Linked DNA regions of Yarrowia lipolytica. The protein of the gene in region 1 purifies or fractionates together with the protein of each later gene. This does not show direct contact. Links are inferred from orthologs where the notes say so. Each region holds a gene or a part of one and is shown on either strand. Other genes may lie near its edges.

The links. The genes of interacting proteins can lie anywhere in the genome.
Region 2: the proteins of YALI1_F28537g (region 1) and YALI1_E31947g purify together in Saccharomyces cerevisiae (affinity purification with mass spectrometry; 3 studies listed by BioGRID). This does not show direct contact. The link is inferred for Yarrowia lipolytica from reciprocal best matches to the Saccharomyces cerevisiae genes CYM1 and PDB1.

Annotation. Positions count from the first base shown.
Region 1 is NC_090775.1:2,850,273-2,855,595, forward strand, and holds YALI1_F28537g (uncharacterized protein), read right to left. Parts: upstream 3,496-5,323; coding exon 523-3,495; downstream 1-522. Other genes in the region: YALI1_F28550g (uncharacterized protein), read left to right, coding at 4,826-5,323. UniProt on the Saccharomyces cerevisiae protein: Degrades mitochondrial transit peptides after their cleavage in the intermembrane space or in the matrix, and presequence peptides; clearance of these peptides is required to keep the presequence processing machinery running.
Region 2 is NC_090774.1:3,193,234-3,196,960, forward strand, and holds YALI1_E31947g (uncharacterized protein), read right to left. Parts: upstream 2,169-3,727; coding exon 2,007-2,168; intron 1,538-2,006; coding exon 545-1,537; downstream 1-544. Other genes in the region: YALI1_E31919g (uncharacterized protein), read left to right, coding at 1-370; YALI1_E31974g (uncharacterized protein), read right to left, coding at 3,406-3,727. UniProt on the Saccharomyces cerevisiae protein: The pyruvate dehydrogenase complex catalyzes the overall conversion of pyruvate to acetyl-CoA and CO(2).

The DNA.
Region 1 (5,323 bases):
GATGTACAAGCGTACATACATACAGATACAGTATTTCTCGCAGTTCATGGAGATAATAGTTCCAATACCCACTCATGGACCAAATATAAGTAGTTAGGATCTGAAAGCCTGTATCATAATTAATTCAAGACTAAGGAAGACCTTCATATATTCATATTGTCCAAATTCGCAATCTTTTTATTATTCTAGGCATTTTTTTTTATTCTAATCTTTACTAACCCAAAATACAGCTCGTTTCACCTTTCCGATATAGTGTAGGGGCTATCACATCACGCTCTCATCTTGAGAACCGTGGAGACCGGGGTTCGATTCCCCGTATCGGAGTGTACAGCCAACTGGCTGTCTCTTTTTTTATTCTTCTTTTCCCTATCATGTGTTGGTATCAACCAATTTTGCATGAGGATAAGCTGACTAACCCTTTTGACCTGTAACCCTCCCATCCCTTCTTATGGGTGGGGTACGTGAAATACGTCTCCGCCTTAAATCTATACATATAATCATCATTCGTTACTATATACATGACTACTCCAGCACAGTCCACTTCTTTTTGTCCATGGTTTCGTATCCGGGGCCGAGAGCGGCCACTGAGTACCCGGAGGGGTTGACGAGATACTGCTTGGCAACCCGCTTGACGTCATCAACAGCCACATCAAGCAGCTGCCGTCGTCGCTTCTCTCGCTGCTCGTAGGTAAGTCCGTTGGCATAGAGAGCCATTCCCTCTGACTTGACGGAGATGGGGGCATCGATTCGCTGGAAAAGGGACAGCTTGGCCTCCTGCAGATCGGAAGAGCTCCAGTCCTTCTTGACAGACCACTCTCCAGCCTCCTGGCAGGTCTGCAGGGTTCGTTCCAAGTTGGGGTCTCGGTATGAATAATATGAGAAGAAGCCGTCAGTGGGGTTATAAGAGGCTCCTCCACCGTAAGCGCCTCCCTTTTCTCGGATTTCTCGATGCAGATGCTTGTGGGTCAGCATGTTGGCGAGTACCTGCAGGGGAGCTCCGTCAGCATGAGTGTAGGGCACTCCGGGGATGGCAATACCAGCGTAGTTGACCTGGAACGGTAACTTGAACAAGGTGCTTGTGGGAGTGGTCATGGGGATAGACAACGACGAGATATTGAAGGGCGACTCATTGGTCTCGAAGGACTCAGCGAACTTTCGCACCAACTCGTCGTTCTTGGTCTGCATGTCCTGGCCACAAGTGACGGCAAATCGCTGCTCACGGGTCAGAGCAAACTTGGCAATCTCCTGGAGCTTGGGGATGACCTCGTCGACAAGCTGCTGCTCGGACTTGGCAGCCAGCTCAGACAGGAAGCGCACCTGGGCCACACCCCCCAGAATGTCGTCAATCTTCTTGACAGGGGAAATATCGGAAGCAGCTCGAAGCATGGCGAACGAGTGTCCAGACTGAGCCAACGCGTTGGACAGGTTAGCGGTGGAGGCTGCAATCATGGTCTTAAGCTTCTCAACGTTGGTGAAATCAGTGTTTCGAAGCAGCTCCTGAAACAGGCCAAACATGGTCTCCACATTTTTGTCCAAAGCCACACCATCCATAGCAAAGTTGAGCTGGGACGACGGCAGAGAAAGAGGAGAAGAAGAGCAGGAGACAGAGAAATCAAGACCACCAGTGTTGAGTTTGATTTCGTCTTCCAGTTGGCCCATAGTCTTGTCCTTGGTTCCCAAAAAGGTTAGGGACGAGGTGAACAGAGGAAGGAAGGGGTAGTACTCGTGGGGAAGACCCTCTAGAGAAGAGATGGAGTGGAAGTAAGTCAGACCGTTGGTGGGGGCAAGTCGCCACTGGATGGGATAGGGATTCTTGGTATGCTCCAAGGCAACTCGAGGCTTGCTTCTGGGGATGTCTGAGACGTGAAGAGTGGGCAGACAGTCAAGGTTCTCAGGCTCTTCCTGCATCTTTTCCAGGTTGGCCCCGGTCTCGAAGATTTCCTCCTTATCAGATTCAGTCAGTTTGGCCAGCTTGTCGGTCAGAATCTCGTCCTCCTTTTCCTGCACATTCTTCTCATAGTCGGGATTGGGGTTCATCTGAAAGTGGAAGTACTTGTTGTCGAGCAAGTACTTCTTCATCACCTTCTGCAGGAACTCAGGGTCGGCCTCCATGTCTTTGTTGAACCGATCGAGCACAGAATTCCACTCCAGAGCCTCCAGGGGGTCGACCTGGTTAAACCAGCCAGGAAGAACACCGTTCATAAGAGCCATACCGAACTTGGCGTTCTGGTCCTTTCGAGCAAGCTCAGTCTGATGCAAAAGACCGTCGATTCGGCCCTTGTCGAAGCCCTCAGCAACGGTAGTCTTGATGGTGTCGAGAATAACAGTCTCGACCTTTGTAAGATCGCTCTCGGTCACTCCCTGAAGACCAACAGAGAAAATGTTAGCTCCAGGAGCACTGTCAAGGCCAGTGTTGGGAGAGTAGGAAGATCCAAGACCGGAATCAATCAGCTTCTGATGAAGGGGGGAAGAATGACCGTCAATGAGTAGAGAAGAGATGATCTTGACGCAGAAAGACTCGTAAATGTCCTTGGGAGAACCCATCAACCACGACATGGACATCTTGTGCTGCTTAGACGTATCCAGAAGAGTGTCAATAGGACCCTCTTCAACGATACGGGTGTTCTCAGCGGCAGAAGAAAATTCGAGAGGCAATCTCTCGGTGTTTCCGGGAGTTTTGGAGATCTCACAATTCTCAAATTTGGCGTTCAGAGCCTCCAAATGGTCAGCAACAGAGATATCTCCATAAGAAAACGTCTTGGCGTTGCTGGGGTTGTAGTGATCAGCATGAAACTTCTTGAGACCCTCGTAGGTGAGTTCGGGAATAACAAGAGGGTCTCCTCCAGAGTTGTTCAAACTGGGGTAGATCTTCTCCAGGTACCGAATGTAGAAAGCGTAAGCAGCATTGGACATTTGACCTTTCATCTCGTTGAAAACGACACCCTTGAGGATGATGGGACTGGTCTTGTCCTTGGAGTCCTCGTTTTCCAGTCTCCAGCCTTCCTGAGAAAAGTCCAGCTCTCGAAGCAGAGGCTTCAGGGTAGCATCGAGGTACACATCTCGCAGATTCTTCATGTCGGTAGCGTTGGTGGTAGCAAAGGGGTAAAAGGTGTAGTCCTGGGCGGTCATCGCGTTCATGAAGTTGGCAAGAGATCGGTTAAGCATCTTGAAGAAGGGATCTCGGACTTGGTACTTTTCCGATCCACACAACGTTGTATGCTCCAGAATATGGGGAACTCCGGTTCGATCGGGAGGATTAGTCTTGAAGCCGATGGAAAAGACGTTGTTGGAGTCATCTCGAGCAATGTGCAGATGCTGGGCTCCAGTGGAGTGCTCTAGCAGGGTAGCCTGCAGATCAAACTCGGGGATCTCTTTGGTTCTGAGAACATTGAAGCCATGGATATTGTCGCCGACAGAGAGAGTGGGTGCGGAGGTGGTGGCGAAACGTCGAACCACGGCCTGGACCGGTTTTTTGAGCGACTTTAGACGTAACATGGTGGTGGAAGAGAGTGTCGATGCAAGTCTCGATTTTAGATAAAAGAGTGAACAACTCTAAATGATTTATAATAGTTGGGGGAAGGTAGCGACGAGGCGGTGGTCACATTACAGGAAAACAAATATGGATTGATACCATGTACCATGAGTGATCACGTGCCATGAGTGATCACGTGGACAGTTTTCGTAGTCAGGATTTCCGTCTGTGGGTTTCTGGAGAGTTGTTAGAGCGTCAATAACCGACATCTTCCTCGATGCGGGGAATAGGGTAAGGGAGAAACCCGTGAGGTGGCAAGACGAAGATTAGTAATATTTATAATGAGTGGAGGACTGATCACGTGATAGGATTCTACGATCGTGTGGCTAACTTATGCTTGATGGGCTCGTGGCGGTCGAGAATGATTTCTTATCTGTCTTTTGAACACTCCTGGTGATGCATAATTAGGTTGCAAAGGTCTGGAATACTGATGGAAGAAATCGATTTCAGTGTCGCTGCTAAGACGAGGAGGGGACTTACAGAGAGAAGAATAACAGCATTAAAAATAAGGGTGCCTGTAGCTTTCGATCTATATAAATAATGTACTACAATCTCATTACGTTGCTTACCGTAAACTGCGATTATTTCCGTAGGTGCTGTGTTGAGGTTTTCAGTGGCGACTCGCCAGATTGTCAAAACAGGCTATTCGAGTCACAACAGAAGACGTAGGCTAGCTACTGTATTTAAAACAAGCATCCTAATGAAAGTACTTGTACTCACCTTGTAGGTTGCGGCTCCCAGCAACCAACAACCACAATTATTTACATGATCTGACAATTCAGTCAAATGTTGGAATCAGCATACTCCCGTGAAAATGTGGACCTTGCATTTCCAGGGCCTGGACTGTTTCGGTGGGTGTTTGGATCGCAGTCTCGCCACCAGACGTTTCTTTCCACCACCTTCGTAGACCTGATCGACTGTTTATAGCGAGAAACAGTGGGTTCTGTTTGTGGTGTGTAATTGTGGAGGTCAGGTTGGCGTCGGAGTTGGGACTATTAATAGGTTCAGGTTATGACAAGTATTTTTAGCGACTCGCACAGCATGTACACTATGAATAAGAGAGATGCACAGAGTCAGTGAGAGATTAGAGATAGTTGAACAGACACGTGACGAAAAATATCTCGTGACCTATTAGTTGCAATTGAATTATATTTGGTAACGTGACACGCTCACGACTTCCGCGTTCAACTAATTACCACTTCTGGACGCGTCTCCCAAATCATTTCAATTAAGCTCTTGGGTACGCGTCGTGAAGGCTGGGCCTTGTAACCTCCTTCTTTCCTCCACAACACCATGGACAGCTCTCCAATTCGACTCATGAGCGCAAGTGAGCAGAATGCAGGATGTGACAAGCCTGTAATGGCCGACAACAAGCCTCTGTGCACGATTACCACGCCCGAACCGTCACCCAAGCGTCGAAAGATCTCTGCCGAGGAGAAAGAAAAGATGCGACTTGAAAAGGAACAGATCAAGAAGCAGAAAGAGGAAGAGCGAGAGCAGCTTCGAAGACAGAAGGAAGAAGAGAAAGAGCTACTGAGAAAGCAGAAAGAGGAGGAGAAGGAACAACTGAGGAAACAGAAGGAGGAGGAGAAGAGGGGGCTAAAGAGGAGGAAGAAAGGGAAAGAGGAGGAGAAACGACGACGAGAAGAGGAACGAAAGAAGGCTGCCGAAGAGAAGGAGCTTGAGCGAGCCAAGATTGCAGAGGAGAAGGCTAAGTTGGCTGAAGAGAAGGAGGCCAAGAGACTTGAAAAAGAAGCTGAACTCAAGAAGAAGGAGCAAGAACAGACTCGA
Region 2 (3,727 bases), on another chromosome or scaffold:
CATCTCTATTACTGCCTTCCATACCCAGATTGCTGACCCTGTCATCGGAGGCACCTACATGACCACCCTTAACACAATTTCCAACCTGGGCGGTCTCTGGCCAAAGATTATTGTTCTCAAGGCTGTCGACTGGTTCACATCCGCCACCTGTACACCCAAGGCTGGCAAGACCTTCGCTGCCTTCTCATGTGTGGCCAAGGAGGCCAAGAACATGTGTGAGCAGAGTGGAGGTATCTGCACCATCCAAACCGATGGCTACTACATCACCTCGATGCTGTGCATCACCATTGGAGCCACGCTGTTCTTTGGATGGATTTACAAGAAAATGCGCTTCCTTGAGTCGCTCCCTATTTCAAGCTGGAGAGTTTGAGGCTGTATATAGATACATTAGACGAATAAAATATGAAAGATAAATGTTTGTACGAATAATTAGATATGCTTCAGTCACTTGTTGAATTGCGTTAAATACGTTAATCATACTCTACATAAGCTCCTATCCGTGCAATAATTACTGTATGTACCTACATGTTGTAGCTGGAGCGCTCTACTCCTCAATGTAGAGGGCGTCCTTGGCAGCCTTGACAACAATCTCGGGTGTGGGGAAGGCGAAGTTCTCAAGCTCAATGGCGTAAGGAGTGGGAACCTCAGCTCCGGTAACTCGCTGGATGGGGGCATCAAGGTAATCCCAGGCCCAGGAGTCGTTGACGACACCACAGAGCTCGGAGCCCATGCCAAAGGCGGGGAAGCCAGCCTCGACAGAGACAAGTCGGTTAGTCTTCTTGATGGAGTTGAAAATGGTCTCAGTGTCGAGAGGCTTGACAGTTCGCAGGTTAATGACCTCGGCATCGACGTTGTGGTGCTTCTTGAGGAGGTCGGCGGCCTTGAGGGCGGTCTCGACGTTTCGGGAGTGACCGACAAGAGTGATATCCTTACCCTCTCGCTCAATCTTGGCCTTTCCAAGGGGCAGAACGAAGTCGGGGGACATGGCCTCCTCAGACATGGGGAAAGACTCTCCGTACATGATCTCGTTCTCGAGGAAAACAGTCACGTTGGGGTCTCGGATGGCGGCCTTGAGCAGACCCTTGGCATCCTCAGAGCTGTAGGGAGAGACGACCTTGAGACCGGGAATCTGGCCGTACCACCCGGTGAAATCCTGAGAGTGTTGGGCAGCAACACCAGCGGCGGCACCGTTAGGACCTCGGAAGGTGACATTGCACTGCTGGGTACCTCCGGACATGTAGTAGGTCTTGGCACCGGAATTGATGATCTGATCAATGGCCTGCATGGCGAAGTTCCAGGTCATGAACTCGCAGACGGGGGTGAGACCGGCCAGGGCGGCACCGACACAAACACCGGCGAAACCCATCTCGGTGATAGGGGTGTCAACCACTCGCTTCTCGCCGAACTTGTCGAGAAGGCCCTTGGTGACCTTGTAGGCACCGTTGTACTGGCCGACCTCCTCACCCATGATGAAAACATTATCGTTTCGGTCCATCTCCTCTCGCAGTGCGGTGTTGAGGGCGTCTCTGACAGTCATCTAGGTTAGTACGTTGTTTTGGGTGTTGTCATGTTGATGTTGTTGGAAGTGTACAGAGCATTGTACAATTGCGACATAGCAGGAACGCAATCAACGGCTGAATCGCCGAATCGCTATTTCACAATTGGCACCTACAGCTTTGATAACTCCGGCAGCTCCAGACACGGAGTGCAGTTACAGCATGAGGCTGAATGTCCGCGTCACAATGATGATAAAATGGGTGCGTTTCAGGAGTTGCTGAAAATTTGACTGGTGGCAAATATCACTGAAAGCTCGTCACTCCATTGTGATCTCTCTCGCTATAACCGTGTTTGCTTCTTCTGCCATGTCTTAAGTCCGAAAAGCACTGTTTGCTGTTGATGAACACCCGTTACACAACGCTCGAGTTGCCCCATTCAGGGCGCATCGCGAAGCCGCAAGCGCACGGCCGTCGTGTATATATCGTGTCGTTCACACAAAAAATACTCACGTTAGTGGCGCCGCCTTCGGTTGAGGCAGCTCGGGTCTGGCCCATCATTCGGATGGCAGCCTGCTGGCCAGCAGTGGGCAGCAGAATCTGCTTGGAGGCGGGCTTGAGAACAGAGGTCTTGGCGGTGGCGGCCAGACGGTTCAATTGCTTGATGGCAGACATGTTTGTGGCTTGTTGCTGTGGGACCGAAAAAGATCTCAGATATCGTTTGTCGATGAAGAGTCTTGTAGTGAGAGATTTAGCTCGGAGGGGCGGTTGAGAGTTATTTCCCAACAGAATAGAGCCTAACCTGCTGGCGGGTCACATAACCCGGAAAAACTTTTCGAGCTAATTTTCCGAGTGCTCAGCAGCGCGTTGCGCGGAAGTGGAGTGGAAATGACGGTTATAGAACGACTCAATTCCCAGACTGGATACACTGGCAATGTTTTGTCACACATTTTTGGTCAAAACAAGCGCAACTACCTTGGTATTACAACGTTCTAGTGACACGTCCACCCGGACTAATTTAGGTTGGTCCCCCACGTCACACAGAGGACTAAAGAGGAGAGCCTACTGCTGTGTACACGAGAGTGAGTGGCTATTGGCGGTAGCAAAAATGGGGGTCCAAGACGAGCGTAAAGCTCAACACGCTCAGAAGTCCGATTATCGGAGCTTGGAATTACTAACCAAGACGCACATGTCACGTGAACACAATATAATACATGGTGCGTCCCTCGAGGATCTACCCTGTTGGTGTCTACTATCGGAATAATCTAGATGCAAACATAGCTATGAGCTTCAGCTATACGGGGGCGTGGACTGGACGTACGTACAGAGCAGGTGTACAGCAGTAAATATGTACAAGTCTGTAGGAAGGGAGCAAAAACCACCAATTGAACAGTGTGCGGTTTTGACGTGCATGCATACACACAAGAGGCACTGCTTGGTGTTGAGACAGCAAGTTGAGATAGGAGCGGGCAGTAACATATTAGATACAGGACCCTAAGTGCCTGTACTTGTATATCTAATGTGCGCTATGTGCAGTGTCTACTGTATGTATCCCAATTGTACATCGCCAAGTAACATTTTACATTGTACAGTACAGTAATGACTTTCAGTGTGTGCATTCAACGATCATTTATTTCCCACATAATTACAGTAGCCCAACATGACTACTTAATATTAGCACAACTTTTGGCTGGGTGAAATTTCTGACGTCAACGGCGATTGGGAATGTTGAGCTTTAGCCAAGTACAAATACAACAGTTGGGCCATATCGGCTACGCAAATCCGCACGAATCTATGCTAATACTTTCGTTATAGGGCTTCTGTTAGAACAGCAAGTGTTTTTTGAGTACCAGTGGGGTTGTCTGAGCGGGTGTGCTTTGCTACAACTCCTGATTGTTGTTGTGGGAGTGCCTTAAATAGGCATCTGACCCACCCGCTTGTAGCCAAACATCTCGCCGATCTTGAACCAGAGGTTTCGAAGAGGATCGACGACAATTTTGGCCAGCGAGGCGCCTCGTCGCTTCTGCTCACCGCCCTGGACTTCGTTGGTGCTGGGCAGAACGTAGTCCGAGGCACTGAGGGAGATGAAGAGTGAAAAGGGCACAAGCCAGATGCAGATGACAAAGTAGGACGCCACTTGAGCAAAGGGCAGCCGGGTCTCTCCTACGTAGTCCAGATTGTGGTATCGAATAGACGCCGGGGGAAGCTCAGGGTCCGAGAAGTGGGAGAACCAG